4 linked regions of the Caenorhabditis elegans genome follow. The protein of the gene in region 4 purifies or fractionates together with the protein of the main gene of each other region. This does not show direct contact. Each region holds a gene or a part of one and is shown on either strand. Other genes may lie near its edges.

What was found.
Region 1: the proteins of rpt-5 (region 4) and pbs-3 fractionate together in Caenorhabditis elegans (co-fractionation; one large-scale study listed by BioGRID). This does not show direct contact.
Region 2: the proteins of rpt-5 (region 4) and rpn-9 fractionate together in Caenorhabditis elegans (co-fractionation; one large-scale study listed by BioGRID). This does not show direct contact.
Region 3: the proteins of rpt-5 (region 4) and vha-13 fractionate together in Caenorhabditis elegans (co-fractionation; one large-scale study listed by BioGRID). This does not show direct contact.

The regions. Positions count from the first base shown.
Region 1 is NC_003280.10:4,953,921-4,957,410, forward strand, and holds pbs-3 (Proteasome subunit beta type-3), read right to left. Parts: upstream 1,508-3,490; 5' UTR 1,468-1,507; coding exon 1,415-1,467; intron 1,364-1,414; coding exon 966-1,363; intron 917-965; coding exon 753-916; 3' UTR 560-752; downstream 1-559. Other genes in the region: ndx-3 (Nudix hydrolase 3), read left to right, coding at 1-314, 359-496; ulp-2 (Ubiquitin-like protease 2), read right to left, coding at 2,086-2,472, 2,523-3,093, 3,145-3,247. UniProt on the Caenorhabditis elegans protein: Non-catalytic component of the proteasome, a multicatalytic proteinase complex which is characterized by its ability to cleave peptides with Arg, Phe, Tyr, Leu, and Glu adjacent to the leaving group at neutral or slightly basic pH.
Region 2 is NC_003280.10:11,236,891-11,240,524, forward strand, and holds rpn-9 (26S proteasome non-ATPase regulatory subunit 13), read right to left. Parts: upstream 2,030-3,634; 5' UTR 2,029-2,029; coding exon 1,934-2,028; intron 1,885-1,933; coding exon 1,305-1,884; intron 1,256-1,304; coding exon 869-1,255; intron 819-868; coding exon 717-818; 3' UTR 557-716; downstream 1-556. Other genes in the region: FUN14 domain-containing protein fndc-1, read right to left, coding at 1-3, 70-206, 259-429; T06D8.9 (Store-operated calcium entry-associated regulatory factor), read left to right, coding at 2,828-2,903, 2,953-3,182, 3,235-3,623.
Region 3 is NC_003283.11:14,349,993-14,354,986, reverse strand, and holds vha-13 (V-type proton ATPase catalytic subunit A), read right to left. Parts: upstream 3,279-4,994; 5' UTR 3,271-3,278; coding exon 2,446-3,270; intron 2,165-2,445; coding exon 1,936-2,164; intron 1,836-1,935; coding exon 1,069-1,835; 3' UTR 565-1,068; downstream 1-564. Other genes in the region: Y49A3A.3 (tRNA:m(4)X modification enzyme TRM13), read right to left, coding at 1-2, 45-537; cept-2 (diacylglycerol cholinephosphotransferase), read right to left, coding at 4,543-4,994. UniProt on the Caenorhabditis elegans protein: Catalytic subunit of the V1 complex of vacuolar(H+)-ATPase (V-ATPase), a multisubunit enzyme composed of a peripheral complex (V1) that hydrolyzes ATP and a membrane integral complex (V0) that translocates protons.
Region 4 is NC_003279.8:5,741,304-5,745,439, forward strand, and holds rpt-5 (26S protease regulatory subunit 6A), read right to left. Parts: upstream 2,269-4,136; 5' UTR 2,252-2,268; coding exon 1,591-2,251; intron 1,499-1,590; coding exon 1,206-1,498; intron 1,142-1,205; coding exon 996-1,141; intron 941-995; coding exon 748-940; 3' UTR 565-747; downstream 1-564. Other genes in the region: rad-8 (Reticulon-4-interacting protein 1, mitochondrial), read left to right, coding at 2,881-3,030, 3,075-3,263, 3,317-3,609, 3,655-3,793, 3,840-3,968, 4,016-4,136. UniProt on the Caenorhabditis elegans protein: Component of the 26S proteasome, a multiprotein complex involved in the ATP-dependent degradation of ubiquitinated proteins.

The sequences.
Region 1 (3,490 bases), on a different chromosome or scaffold from region 4:
TGGATCCAGGAGAAACTACAACTGAAACTGCTCTCCGTGAAACGTTTGAAGAAATCGGGGTTAACGCTGAAAGTGTGGAAATCTGGGGTCATTTGAAAAGTGTGATAAGACGGCAAGCGGATTTCAATGTTACTCCGATTGTTGGATACATTTCCGATGAGCGAGTTCTCGAGAATCTGGTGGTCAACTCTGATGAAGTACAAGCTGTTTTCACGATTCCAATTGATGAACTTATCAAAAAAGCCGGACTAACTAAATTCCAAAGCAAGAGAATGAAGTACACACTGCCTTCGTTCGATTCCACGGAGTTCAAGGTTTATTTTTTAAATAATTTCCGAAAAAATGTTAAGTTTTTCAGGTCCATCACAATGCTCCGAACGAGTATCTTCATTCCACCCAGCGAGTTTGGGGGCTTTCTGGTGTAATGTTGCATCAAGCATTGACCCTGCTGAATCCAGATGTCTATAAGCATGATTTAATTGTGAAATTTTTCTAATTCTTAGGATCTGTGTAGTATTTTTTTTGTTCGTAGAATTGTTGCCATAAACTTCGGGAGACTAAAGATAAAACATTTACAAGTCATAATGGGTGATAAATGTATTCTCGATATTGAAGAACCAACACAAAAGAATTTAAAAGTTGAAAAATACGGTAACCGGTCGGTCTGGGGTGTGGGGATGAGACAGGGAAAAGAGAAACAAATAAATTAGATTAAATTGTATACACTTAATGTTGGGAACGGGGAAAATTTCTCAATCCATACGAGCCTTGATAGTTGAGACGTTAACCTTATCCTTAGTGATTGTGTACACGACTGCTCCCCAACCTGATGCAGCATCACGCTCCAAGCAAGAAAGAATCGACTGAGCAGTAGCCTCGAAGAGCTCATCCGGCTTCATGTTCTCGCGCCAGAAGTCTGTAAAAAGTATTTAAATTGAACGTTAAACAAAATTCAAAAAACTCACTTTCACAAACTCCAAGCAAGTACTCTTGTCCCGTTCCGACAGCAACGAAATCGCGTGGAGCAGATACACATCCGATAGTGTCCATGCAGCAGATATATGGCTTGTTGGTGTCGTCCAAACCAGCAACGAGTGGCTCGGTGAAATAACTGCCAAAGCGGTGCTGATAAGCCAGATTCGAGATCATCTCGGACAACACTTGTGGCTTGATGTTGCGATTCTCACGGAGCTCATACAAATTCTTGCGGAACATAATTTTCTCCAAGACTGTGCGAGCATCGGATTGGAATCCAGCAAGTCCTACGTAGACCTTGTCTGTCACCTTATGCACTTTCTTCTGATCAGTTGCAATTGTTGTCATCTGCTCTCCAATACGAAGATCCGAAGCAATGCACACACATCTGAAAAGATAAGAATAAAATAATATTTCAACCATGAAATTTAAAACTTACTCGTCTCCAGCCATGGCGACGACGGTTCCACCAGTGTAGCTCATAATCGACATTTTTGAGTGTTTTTCTGGTCTTTAAGACGAAGAGATATATCTGAAATTGAAAGAGAGTGTGAGAATGTCTGGAAATTTAATAAAACAGAGAAACAATGAAGTGAAATGAGCGTTTCAATCGTTTGGCGGACATTTTGCTTACAAATAGGAAACTGCGGCAGGGAAAAGTGGGCGGAGACTAATAGCGTGCCAGGGTTGCTGAAGAGAACCTATGGAAATCGACCATTTTCTTCAGACAGAACATGAAAAAAATTAATTAAAAACGCGAATTTATCGACGGAAAAACGCATACACGGTAAGAAAACAATCTGAAGTCAAATAGAAAATTTAGAAACCGTTGCGGAGATGTGAAATGGGTGTACAAAAGGAAAATTGATGGAACAGAATATTGAAATTTTAATAAAAGGAGGAAAAAAGAGTGGAGATCAACTGAAAATATTAAATTGAGTGATCAAGTTATAAAGAAAAAATAACAATTGTCACTTTATGACGGAGAACGCAGAAATAAGGAGAGAGCGTAAAAATGGGAGGATAATAAAATCTTTAAAAAATAAATTAACTAAGAGAAGAAAATACCGGCAATTTTTGAGAGGGGAGACAAATTTTTGATCAAAATGCCTAGTAAGCGATTGGGAAGTTATCCTCCGGAATTCTGAGGCGACGAACAAGTCGAGTTATTGGCATTTCCGCCAATCCACGTGGATTCATGAACGTCGGATCATCGTTCATCACATTTCGGTGTGGCGGGCTCAAGGAATAGTGACGTGCATAATAGTCTCTGTGCCGTTTCGTACGACGTTCATTCACTGCACTATGACGACGTGCTTTCCTAAGAGCTCCTTCACGCGACAATCCACATTTGTTCTCCCTTTCGAACTTGGCGAGACGGCTTCTCGCAGGTTTATCCGCTTGTTGAAGAATCAAATTGTAAACTTTGTCTCGCATCAAGTCACACATTTTATTGGCCTCCGGGAAGAACTTTGACCAGTCAAAGTTTGGAAAATCCTGAATTAAAAGTGTTTATTTATTGTGATGTTTCATGAAGATTTACTTACGTTCACATTGACCGGACGGTTCGGATAACAGAAGAGCCCTTCAATGAAATGCAATACATAAAGTCCACAATCATAAAAGTTGTCTTGGATTGGAGTGTTTTCAGCACGAGTCACGACAACTCTCTCCTCATCGTAAATCGTTGGATTCTTCGACGCAAATTTCATTCCAGGAGCCTTAGTGTTTTCATACAATTGAGCCAAATAAATCTTGATGCAGTGACACATATGATTCTTCTTGCTTGGATCGAGACCACTCAACGGATCGAAGAATACAATATAACACTTCGGAGCAGCTCTGGAAGCTTCCTCATTCGACATATCGACAATTGCACCCGATGGATTGATAACAGCGATGACGAGCCAGTGAAGATCTTCGTTGATCGGAATGATAATATAATCTTTGGCAAGAACATCGAATTTTCGTGTCCAACGGAGAACTCGAGGGCAATTGTCTTTCACGATTTTTATGTGTTCTGGTTCGATTGGTCGTCTTTTGGAGAAGCACAATGGTGGAAGTAGGCGAGTCAGATTGACGAATAAGAACGTGTTGCACATATGCACGGATTTCATTCTGTAATTAAATTATAATTTTTAAAATCCAATGATGTTTAATGAAACTTACAGCTCGGACGAAAGCATAAATGCAATATAATTCAGCATAAATGCCATGACGCTGTCATTCAGGAATTCTTTGCGATCCAGTGTTTTGATATCCTTGACGAGCACTGAAATTCATGGATTCTATGAGGGAACAGTTACAGTAACCTATTTTGCGCAGACAGTACTTTGCTTGGTCTCACCACAATAAAGTTTTGTTAAATGCAAATAGGTATGCGCCTTTAAATAAAGTTTATATTATTATTTCTTGGTGTTTTTCAAAAATGAAAAAAATGAAAAAAATTGATGAAAATCCAGAAAAGTCTTGAAGCTACAATATTTTTTTAAAGGGGCATAACTGTTTGAATTCA
Region 2 (3,634 bases), on a different chromosome or scaffold from region 4:
ACTCTGAAAAATTGAATAATATACGATTTTCGTTTTATTCTATTTTTTTTTCGTAAAATTCAAGCTTACTTGTTCATGACGGACTTGTGTAGATTTTTCATGTCTCGTTCGATTTTTGATTCGTTCAGCGTGATGTATCCTTTGTGAATAGCGAATTGAGCCAACAGGAAAGAGATTCCCACTGTGGCAGCAACAAGACGTCCTCCCTGAAAATATTTAAAAATTAAATATTTCTCTAGAACCACCAATTTTAAATACCTTGGTGACAAAATATCCAGTCACTGTCCCGAATCCAGCACCAACACCCAGCTGGACCATCGGCTGCTGCTTTTTCAGATCAACAACGTAGTAGAGGACTGTATCGATGGCATCACTCACACCTTTTCCGGCTTTTCCACTGCCTCCGTCGTTTTTTGAAAGATCAACCATGGCTGGAACAATCACAGTACTACATTACTCGAAGACGAAGAGAACCCGAATGTTAAGTATTGAAAAGTACTAGTGAACTATTGACACGGTGTTAGTCACATCTGACATCGAGAAAATTCAATATATTCACAGTCGATTAATTTATGAATTCAAATAAATACACACAGAAAGAAGACTGAACGATCTTGAAATTGTAGAATACACGTAGCAGTGTAATTATAAAAATAGAGGATTCCGGGATTGGGATGGGGGAGCATGGAGAAAATAAATTAAAGAAATGAGATGATTTAATTTTGAGTGAGAATCTCGCGTGCCTCTTTGCTGACGATTCCTTCCATGGAGTTGACATCGTTCCTCCATGCGGAAATGCGAGTCGCCATTTGCATTATCTGAAAAAAAGAAAATAAGTATTTTAAAAACTTATAATCAATTCTTATACCTGAGGATTATCTAAAACTCTTGGCTGCACCCATGTCACGTAGACAACTTGCTCAACTTGATTGATATCTCCACGAATGAGATCCTTGCTCAACGCCTTCATCACCAAGAACTCAACTTCGTCGAATGGGATCTGGCACTTCGTGGCGATTTCTTTGAATGAAACGCTTCTGGCTTTGGTTGGACGAGAGACTGCAAGTTCCATGACAGCCATCAGACGGATTTTGGCAGTCAGGAAATCCTTTTGCTTCTTCAAATCGTCCCAGCCTCCCCAATCTCCTTCGAGCGAGAAGAAGCGCGTCAAATCTCCCGAATTGAAGGCAAGAAGCACGTCCACGATCCAGCGTTCACGAGTTCCTTCGAGCGATTTGAGGATGGGGTGAGCAAGCTGAAAAAACCGTTTATTGGGGGAATTTAAATTGAGAGTTTCAACAAACCAATTCTCCGAAGTTGTGCACGTTTTCTCCCAGAAGAGCAGCGAAACCGAGAAGAACCGCATGGACTTGCTTCTGTTCTGTTGTCAGATTATTGGCGTCCTCAACTCCAAGATAACGAAGAGCTTCGCGATAATATCCAGCGAAGTCTCCAACTTCACGAAGATATAAAGATGAGACGCGGTAGAACGGGGCATGAACTTCTGTAACTCCGACAAGTGAGTCCACTTCGTGTTGTGTCGAATCGATTTGAGTTCGAATGCTCTTCAGATCAATAATCTGTCCATTTTTGTCCTTGTTCTCCAGTCTGGCTTCAATCTCTCCGGTATGAAGTCGAGCAACGGCAATCTTGTCCTTGTTGATGACGTTTCCAATTTTTGACAGGAATTCCATAGATTTTTGCTTGTCCTTTGTCGCGATATTTTGGGCGATCGAAATGCAAATCTCGACGAGCTGAAGAGGGTTGACACGCAGCTCCCACTCCGCCACGAACAGTCTGTAGAATTCGTGCATGTCCGTTGAAGCCACAAATTGTGGCTTCTTCACAAGGGATCGTGTCAGAACCGTTAGTTGATGCCAGAGCCTGAAAATTAGTGAAATAGTTTGTGTCTACAAAAACAATTGATTCTTACTTTTTCTCCCAGAGCTCCTTGAGATTCTTCCAGTCATCGGCCAGAGGTCCATTGGCAGCCGCCAGCTTTCCGTTGAGGTAGTCTTGAGCAGTCATCCTGAGAAATTCTCGATACATTAAAAATTGAGACGAGAAATGAGTGAAGAAGAAAGAAAATGAAGGAGTAGGAGCAATCAAAACAAAAATGGATTTCGAATAGCTAAAATGAACATTTTTGGCGAGCGCGCTCTCACAAAAATCAAAACAAAAAACTTTTTTTGAATTTTATTTGTCAGCAATTAAAGGCGCATGGCCTTTCACTTTGGAAATATCGAGACGCGAAAGACAATGTTTTCGGTCACGGCCATATGTCTGCGTCTACAGTCTCTTCAACATATGCGATAGGGCGCGCTTGCAACAATTTATTTTTCTTAATTTATTTTATTGTTTTTTAACAGAAGATATTGTTTTTAAAGTGCGAACACCCTTCTCGATTTATCCGCCAGCTGGCAACACAGCTTTTCAGGTTTTCCTTCCAGATTTGTGTGTTTTCTTCTTGGTTTATAGCGAAATCTGATAAAAATCGCAACTCTGAATAAAAATTATGTCAAACAAAGGCGTTGCTGTAAAATTGTGTCCATCCAATAGATTTTCCTCGCTTATTCTCGTATTATCTTTTTTCTTGATTTGCAAAAAAATGATCCAAGTATTTCGAAATTTCTGAAAATTCCGTGTTGTTACACGTCACATATCCTATCATTCGTTTTCTTCATTATCATCTTTTCTCCCTTTCACTGCAACGCTTCAAAATTAATCTCTGGTGCTTCGTTCTTATCTTCCGGTACTATTTCAATGTTCATACTACTTTCTATTGATTACTCGTTCAAAATTCCTAATTGTTAGTTTCTTTTTTCAGATGATCTCTCGATTTACAACGAGTTTCCTTTTATGGATGCTTCTGGTGTTCACAGTGGTATTCTTCGAAACTTCTGGTAAGTTTTTCTTTTGATTATTTGTTTCAATAATACAAATGAATTTCAGCGGCCTCTGACAAAGTTCTTCTTCGCGATGTATCAGCAATTACTCTACACAAAGGAAAAATGACGACAGGACGACGAGTTTCTCCAACCTTCCAGTTGAAGTGTGTCGGTGGATCCGCGAAAGGTGCCTTCACCCCAAAGGTGGTTCAGTGTGCAAATCAAGGTTTTGATGGTTCGGATGTGCAGTGGAGATGTGATGCAGATTTGCCACATGATATGGAATTCGGATCCGTTAGTTTTTTAAATATTTCCATCTCGCTTCAAAAAATGTTTCTTGTTTCAGATCAGTGTTTCATGTGAAGGATACGATTACGCAGAGGATCCATACATCCTGAGAGGATCTTGCGGGTTGGAGTATGAGCTCGAGTACAATTCTGCGAGCGGTAACAGATCAGTTTCTCGAAAGTCATCCCAGGATCGATGGGATCAGTTCGCCACGTTCGTCGTCGTCGCCTTCATCGCCTACATTATCTACGCGATGTGGACTAACAGAAATCAGAACCCAGAAAGCTCTGGCTACACTTCTGGTGGATCAGGAGGTCCTGGAGGCCCAGGATCCGGCGGAGGAGGTGGTGGTCCAGGTGGTTATCCAAGTGCTCCTCCACCATATGACGACTACTCCAAGCCACCGCCATATGGGTTCCGTGGTGACTCGCAATCTGGAGGTGGATGGTAAGGAATTT
Region 3 (4,994 bases), on a different chromosome or scaffold from region 4:
ACCTGAAAAGAAAATTATTAAAATGGAAATGCATTTTATAAAACCTAAAATAGACGAAATCTGGTATAATTGCTTCTTTTTCGTGTTGTTCAGATCTGAATTTTGTGCGATATTTTGCTCGACGAGCTCATTTCTTTGTTGCTCAACAATCAAACGATCCATTACATCCGTCTCATAGCACTTCCAGATCTTGTGCACAGTGGTACAAATCTCATCTTCAGTGGCTCTTCGATCAATTTTATCGGTGCGTTTGGTCTCGCCACGAATAGAATTTGCATCAATTTTGATATATTCTGCATCTCTGATTCTAGAATTACACCTTGTCAGATGAATCTCTAGATCTGCCTTCAGAATCGTATGTTTTCCATCATTCGGGCAAACCATACGATCAGTGTTATTCTGATCGTGAATTGAATGCTCTCCACAGAACCGATTTCCCTTTTTCACCAGCATCTTACACCGTCGCTTCTTAATTGGTAGAATATATTCACAGCAAGCGTTCTGCTGTTGTTGCTGCTTCACCGAATCCAATTCCATTTTGAAAACGAGACCTGCGTGCGAGATATTTGTGATTTTCCTAAAGTTTATTGCTATAGTTGAATTGGTGTGTCTCAAAAGTATTATACATATCACAACACAGTAAAACGTGGTTCGTAAGACTATACGGGTTGGTTGTCGCAAAAAAAGAAATGGAAGGGCACAAGTAAAGTAGTCTATTCAACAAGAAGAATACCAAAAATATTGATTAATATAAGTGAAATTGTTGTTTAAAACGGGAGTTGTAAGGCGACCAGATACATTGTGTGTGGTTGGAATTTTTTGAAGTTTAGAAATCTACAAAAGAGAAAAAAGGTGCAATAAATATCTGAAATTTGGAATGTCAAATCAATCAAACACTTTAAAGAGGATAAAAGTAGAGAAAGGAGGCGAATTGGGTGAGGGGATCAAGGAAAAACATATACTTTTAACTAAAAAGTACACGCTCAGCAAAACTGAACAGAATCTAGCGGGGAGGCGAAAACAGAAACAAACAAGAGAATCAATTTTAAAATTTCTAAAAACATTAATTTAATCCTCGAGGTTTCTGAAAGCGTTAGCCATAGCCTCTGCCAAATCTTCGTAATCCTTGCGAATCTTGGCTTCACCATCGGCAACTGGATCCTTGAATTTCATGGCAGAAAGCTGGTAGATCAAATCTCCCATGCTATCCTTGATGACGTTCCATGTGATCTTGTTATCAGATTGAGCAGTTGCTTCAACAGCATGACGGGCCAAGTCATAGAATCCAATCATATTCTTGAGCATACCGACAGTCTTGTAGAATGGGCAGAAACGATCGTATTTGGTGTATCCGTTCTGTTGCAAGAAATCGTCCTTGATGATCTTGGCAACCTCAAGTGTGACCTTGTCTGATTCGGCGAGGGAAGCTTTTCCGACGAGTTGCACAATTTCGGAAAGATCTTCTTCTTCCTGGAGGATCTCCTTGCACTTGGTACGGAGTGAGACGAACTCTGGGTAGTTCTTCTCGTAGAACTCCTCAAGAGCACGCATGTACTCGGAGTAGGAAATAAGCCAGTTAATAGATGGGAAATGTTTACGTTGAGCAAGCTTCTTGTCAAGTCCCCAGAACACCTGTACGATACCGAGGGTGGCGGATGTGACTGGATCGGCGAAATCTCCTCCTGGTGGTGATACGGCTCCGACAATGGTGACGGATCCTTCACGTTCTGGAGATCCGAGACACTTAACACGTCCGGCACGTTCGTAGAAGGAAGCGAGACGAGCGGCAAGGTAAGCTGGGTATCCGGAATCGGCGGGCATTTCTCCGAGACGTCCTGAAAAGAAAATTTGAAAATGTTCAGAGAAATTTCAAAAATATTAAGAAAAAAATATGAATTTCAAATATGAGTATATTTTAAACGGATTAAAACTCACCAGAAATCTCACGAAGAGCTTCGGCCCAACGAGAGGTAGAGTCAGCCATCATGGCAACGTTGAGACCCATGTCACGGAAATATTCGGCAAGGGTGATACCAGTGTAGATGGAAGCTTCACGAGCAGCGACAGGCATGTTGGAAGTGTTGGCGACAAGAGCTGTACGCTTCATGATGGAAGTGGTGACACCTTCGACCTCCATGGTGAGCTCTGGGAAATCACGGAGTACCTGAAAAACAGAAAAAATTAGAATTGTAAAAAATAGGGGCAAAATTGTTAATTTATAATTTAAATGCGGGACAAAACATTGGAAAAAGTAAGAAACATAAACCTTTTAATTTTTAATTGTTTTCTAAATTTTATTCTTAAACGAAACTATTCTGACTAAACTTTTTCACAATTTTTTTTTGAAAAATTAAAACTATTGATTCCAAAAACGAAATTATGGAAAGGCTTTCTTGTTTATTTGATTTTTTCTAATGTTTTTAAAATTATTTTCAAAAAAATTACCTCAGACATTTCGTTTCCACGCTCTCCGCATCCGACGTAAATAATAGCATCAGAGTTGGAGTATTTGGAGAGAGATTGGGAAATGACAGTCTTTCCACATCCGAAAGCTCCTGGAATGGCGGTGGTTCCTCCTTGGACACATGGGAACAAGGCGTCGAGAACACGCTGTCCGCAGAGAAGTGGATTGTTGGCAGCGAGCTTCTCTGTGACTGGTCTTGGAGATCTGACAGGCCAGATTTGGAGCATAGAGAATTTCTGCTTGCGTCCGGCGAATTCGAGCTCGAGAAGGGTGTCCTCAACTGTGTATTGCCCGGATGGAGCAACGAAGGTGATGGTTCCGCATGCACTTGGTGGTAGAAGAATCTTGTGCTTGATGAGCAAGTTCTCATCGACGGTTCCAATGATGTCACCTCCGGTCACGTGTCCTCCAACACGGAGATCCTTGGACACAACGAAGTCCCAGCGAGCTTCACGAGAAAGAGCATTAGTGGAGACTCCCTTTGGAATGTAGATGGATTGAGTAATATCAGCAATATCCTTGAGTGGACGCTGAATTCCGTCGAAAATCGATCCCATGATACCTGGTCCAAGTTCGACGGAAAGTGGTTTACCGGTACGAAGTACTGGATCTCCGATTGTGACTCCAGATGTTTCCTCGTATACTTGAATAGTGGCGTAGTCACCCTCGAGACGAATAATCTCTCCGACGAGCTCTTGATGTCCTACACGAACCAACTCGTACATAGCCGATCCAGCCATCTTCTCGGCTGTGACGACAGGTCCGGACACTCCGTAAACGAATCCGTACGAAGATTCTGCGGCCATCTTTTCCTGGAATGAATGAATTTAGAAAGCTATATGGAAATCGAAAAGAAAATCAAAATAAACCTCGTTTTTCAACAAGAAGACCGAAAAGACAATGGAATTTTTAGGTTTAGAAGTAGGAAAACTCATTAATTCGAGCAATAATGCAAAATATAAAATACAAAGAATAGATATAAAGTGGCAGGGCAATGTTTAATCGGATAAACTTGAACCCTTATAAATATTCAACGAGAATTGGAATATAAATCAATTTATCATTCAATTTACAAGAACTTTTGTAAAGGAAAAAATCAAAGTAAAGGTAAACGAGACAAAAAAACGAGTAATTCCTGTGACTAAACGGGGGGAGAGAGATGTGGTAAAAAAGCTCACAGAAGTTGTTGGAAAAAGCGGAAGATGTGGAAGAGAGCGCACTGCACGGCATTCTACAACGAATAGAAGTGGTTCGATTGACAAGGAGAAACGTCGGCAGGCTAGCGAGAGACAGCGCGCCGAGAGCAGAGAGCAGATAGAGAGAGCGTGGCCGTGGCGGTCGCAAAAACCAGGAACCGCCGGTCGTGCGACTAGAAATCATCGCCGCGTTGCAGCTTCGCCCTATTGAACCGAGAATTTTATACAGCGAGGAGTGAATGTGAGAGAGTGAATTTTGTGTGGCAGAAGTTGTGTAGGTTTACGTCTATCTAGGTAGCGGGGAGAAAAGGTTACACGTCTGTCATCAAGCGAAATTTGATAAACTAATGTGGAAGCGAAGTTACTCTATTAGATAGGAAAAATATGATTTGCGAGGTTTGAGCGGAAAATTTATGTTCGTTTGGAACTATTTTCAAGTTATTCGCCTTAACAATTGGACCACAGTATCATTATAACAATAGTTGTTTTCTAAATTTCGATTAAATAGATACGAAAAAAAAGAAAAATTATATCCGCAAACTCTGAAAAAAAAGTTAAACCAATATTTCCATACAGTAATCTCTTCAAAGGCACAGGACGCTCAAAAACGAAAGGTCTCGCAACGAAAATGTAATTTTCTCCCCAATTTGCTCATTCAGTTATTTAGAATTACGTAGTCGTTAGAATTCTTGAAGGTTTAGACGATGAGACAAAAAAAAAGATGAAAAGTGATTGATCTGTGGTTGTGATAAGAAATTGAGACCGCGACGCATTACGCGTTGCACTTCAAAACATTCCTTTTCCGCTCATAAACACCCGCATTTACAATTAAAATTACAAATTACTATAGGTGAAAAGCCATATTTAATTATACAATCGAAATTACTTGCTACTTCCAGCTCTTGGTGCAGTGACTTTGAAACAATAAATGCCCATATGGTCGCAAATTTGGCGCGTTATGAATAAACAGTAGACTAAAAGTGATGCATAAACGTAAACAGTCGTGTACTTCAGAAGAGTTGGCTCATTGATTTTGATGTCGTAGTATTGATTGATCATCAATGCGATTGGCCCCATGTAGATCCAATCCCAAAGTGAGAGCTCACTTCTGCTCATGTGTGCAACAATCAGACGATTTGTGGCTTTTGCCGCAACGGCTCCAAATTGAAGAACAAATATAACAATAAGATCATCATAGACGCCAGATGCCGATTTGCTGTAGATCATACAATATGGAACAATGACTGCAAGAAGTGGGCAGGCTGGGAAGAGAACTGATGTTCCAGCAACAGTTGATCCATTCTTTCCAACACCATCTGTGAAGATGACTGATA
Region 4 (4,136 bases):
ATTGTAATGCAATTTCTGCTTTGTGTCCTCCGCAATCAAAAGTAGTAGCATATAGTCATAAGACAAAAGAATTGGTAACAGATACACCACCTGTAAGATTAAAATTATTTCAGAAAGATAATCAATGAAATACAAATATTTACAGCTCGAGAAAAATCCCTTTATACTTTCCGAACTTTTCTGCATCGATGGAGAGTGGTTCAAAAGAGGTGTTGGTTCCGAAGATTCGATGCTTACAGGATCCCCAATTTCATGTGCAACTACTAAATAATTATCTGATACACTTCGCATTATTCAATAATGAAATTGATAACAGTAATTGTAAAGATATTTCAATTGATAAATATTTTCAAAAAAGAAAATACTTTCTATCTAACGAGACCCAAATGAAAGAGGCGGAGCGTTTCCATTTGGCACTGGGGCGCGATTGCACTTTAGCTTTTCTCTGCATACGTTTCACTGACGTCAGTACTGACTTCTGGATCGGTCAAGTTACAATTTGAGATGTCTCGCTAAATGTTTGAAGAGCACGCAGAATGTTGAAACAGTGAAAGAAACACATTTCGAAGAGTGACCATTTATGCACATTGATCGGAAATAAATTAGGAATCCACGCACTTCGAGGATGAATCAATAAAAACAGGAGAGGGGTGGGAATAGAATACGAAAGATGAAAGTAAGAAAAAATCGCGTGAGAAAATTCGGGAGCGATTCAAAGGGAACACAGTGACAACCGGGAGTGAAGGATTAAGCGTAGTAATTGAGGGACGCCTTTTTCTTTGCCTGGACCTCCAGAATAGCATCCATAAAGTCTTCATGAAGAATCTCAGTAGCATCTCGTCGAAGAGCAATCATTCCAGCTTCAACACAAACCGCTTTGCATTGTGCTCCGTTGAAGTCATCGGTACAGCGGGCCAGTTCTTCAAAGTTTACATCCTTGCTGAAAAAAATTAATTAGACTAAATTTTACAAATAAAACTGTCGCGAAAACATACTTGACATTCATCTTCCTGGAATGAATCTGCATGATTCTGGCACGGGCATCCTCGTTCGGATGGGGAAGCTCAATTTTACGATCGAGACGACCAGAACGAAGAAGAGCGGGATCGAGCACATCGATACGGTTCGTTGCAGCAATGACCTTAAATTCATATTTACAGCTTATACCGTCTTAAAAATATAACTTAAAATGGAACTCAGCTTACCTTGATATCATCATTTGGTTGGAAGCCATCAAGTTGATTAAGAAGTTCCAACATGGTACGTTGCACTTCACGATCTCCAGCTTTCTCTGAATCGAATCGCTTCGTACCAATGGCATCCAACTCATCAATGAAAATAATAGCTGGAGCCTTTTCCTTAGCAAGAGCAAAAGCATCACGAACAAGCTTGGCTCCATCTCCAATGAACATCTGAACAAGTTGTGGGCCTGCGAGCTTCAAGAATGTTGATTTAGTTTGGGCAGCAACCGCACGGGCCATCATCGTTTTACCAGTTCCTGAAAAACGAATAATTTACACTTGAGCTGTTGTAATTAAAATGGTTATTTTCTAGGAGTACTACTTTATCAAAAATTTTTCGTAATCTTACCTGGTGGTCCATACATGAGCACACCCTTTGGAGGATGAATACCCAAATTAACAAATCGATCCTTGTGAGTCATTGGAAGCACAACAGCTTCAATCAGCTCCTGAATTTGCTTGTCACATCCTCCGATATCGGAATATTGTTCAGTTGGCCGTTCGTCAACTTCCATAGCCTTCACACGAGAATCATATTCTGCTGGTAATTTTTCAAGAATCAAATATGAATCCTTATTGACACCAACGAGATCTCCTGGCTTCAACTCATCTGGATCGACAAGTCCAACAACTGGTAAGAAATATGTGGCACGAGTGGAAGTCTTAATGACTGCGCACTTGGTTTTTTGGGCATCGAGATCAACATTTGCGCCTTCTTCTTCTGTATTATCCTCGAGATCAAGAAGTTCGACAACGTTGGACACCAAGTACGGAAGAGTTTTGTTAACTTTGATACGTTCAGTATTCTCCTTGATCCGTTCTTTGAGAGTGGTTGCAGAATGATTGATACGTTGAACTTCACTTCTCATAATACGAATCTCGTTGTCCAACAAGTGGGTACGGCTTTTGAGATCTTCCGTCGACATTTTCAGAATCTCCTCATCAATAGCATCCTCCACCTCCATTGCCTCTGGGTTTTTTCCGTCTTTTGGCGGTGGTGTTTGCGACATTGTACTGCTTCTGGGGCCTGAAAATTAGTTGTAATTGCTTCTGGTGAGATCTGAAAAGTAGTTCCAGAGAATAACGCAAAGTCAAAGTTCTGGACAATAAAATAAAATCAGTAACACAATGCGGTGTAAATGAGAATATTTAGTTCAAAAAATTAAACGAACGCTAATGTGTATTGAGCGAGTGACAATGAGAGAAAGTGTTTATCACGAGAAATAATGATTAGAATAAAAGAAAGTTTGACTTGATAATTTCACGATGGCCCAAAGGTTACGTCAGTATTTAGCTTACTATTAGGTTTACGTTCCGTCCACAAAATCTGTTTTGGCTAGCTAAATATTATTTAAAAAAGTTTAAAATTTGTGTTACTATCTTCAAAATATCTTTAATGAGTTCTCAAGATAAAAAATTTTGAATATAAACTTAAAAAAAAACAATAATAAGCTTTTTAGCCTTCAGTAAATGATAAAGAATCCAAAAGAACGAGAAATTTTGAAAAGGATGATTTGTGCAATTTAGCGTCGCGGTGAACCACACAGAAGGCATTTAATTTTACGACACTTGAAGTCTTCGTGCAGTTTTATTTGTTTTTATCAGAAAAAAGTTATTTCCACATGAAATTTTCAGCAAAATGATCGAAAAAATGATTCTACGAAGATTTTTCTCAACAAAATCATCAACGATGCGTGCATGGGTCTCTGAAAACGGATCTGGAGTTGAGCTCAAAGAAGTGCCGCTTCCAGTCATAAACAAACCAGGACAAGTCCTTCTAAAAGTTAAAGTGAGATTAATATTTCTTGATTCAAGCAATTTAAATATTTGTAGGCAGCGTCTGTTAATCCGATCGATGTTGACATGTCTCAAGGATACGGTAGAGAATTCCTAGGGACGTGGAAAAAAATAGAGTCCTGTGATGCAGCCGCGTCTAGATTCCCTCTAATTCCAGGAAGAGATTGTACAGCTGTTGTAGAATCTGTTGGTGGCGATGTGCACAATTTAGCTCCCGGTGATGAGGTAACGAAATCCTATTATGCATCGATTCATGATTAAATATCGTATGTTTTCAGGTTATGGCTGTTGTTCCTGTAATTCTTCCAGGCACACATGCCGAGTTTGTTGTCACTGATTCGAAGTATTGCTCTAAAAAGCCCAGCAATTTGAGCTTTGTATCAGCTGCCGCACTTCCTTACGTCGCATCGACAGCCTACTCAGCTTTTACAATAGCCAGGGTCTCACAACGAAATGCCAAACAACAAAGAGTTTTGATTCATGGAGGAGCCGGAGGAGTTGGAAGTATGGCAATCCAGCTATTGAAAGCATGGGGATGTGAAAAGATAGTGGCAACGTGTGCAAAGGGCAGGTTAGATTATCTATATCTTTGCAATTTTTCAAATAAAAATTGTAGTTTCGATATTGTGAAGCAACTTGGTGCAATTCCAGTCGACTACACATCAGACCAGGCGACTCAGGAATTGATTGAGCATGCACCATTTGAAGTTATTCTTGATACTGTCGATTCCCAGCTAGCAAAGTGGAGTGATAATGTAAATATAATTGAGAAGTGGAAATTAATGTATAAAACTACTTCAGGTTATGGGAGTATGGCGTAATTGTGTCCACGTATCAATTGTCTCCCCTTTGATGAGAGAAATGGATAAAAATGGAGTTCCGTTAGGTCTTGTAACGACTGCGATGAAGCATTTTGAAAGATCTTTCCAAGTAATTTTTGAAATATGTACCCGCAACTATAACAATATATTTTTCAGAGCCACTTACGAGGTCGTTGGTTTTCATACGCCTTCTTCAGACCAAGTTCGGATCTGATGAGTCAGTTATCTCGTTTCGCAGAAGACGGGAAAATTGTTCCGGTTGTAGAACAAGTGATGG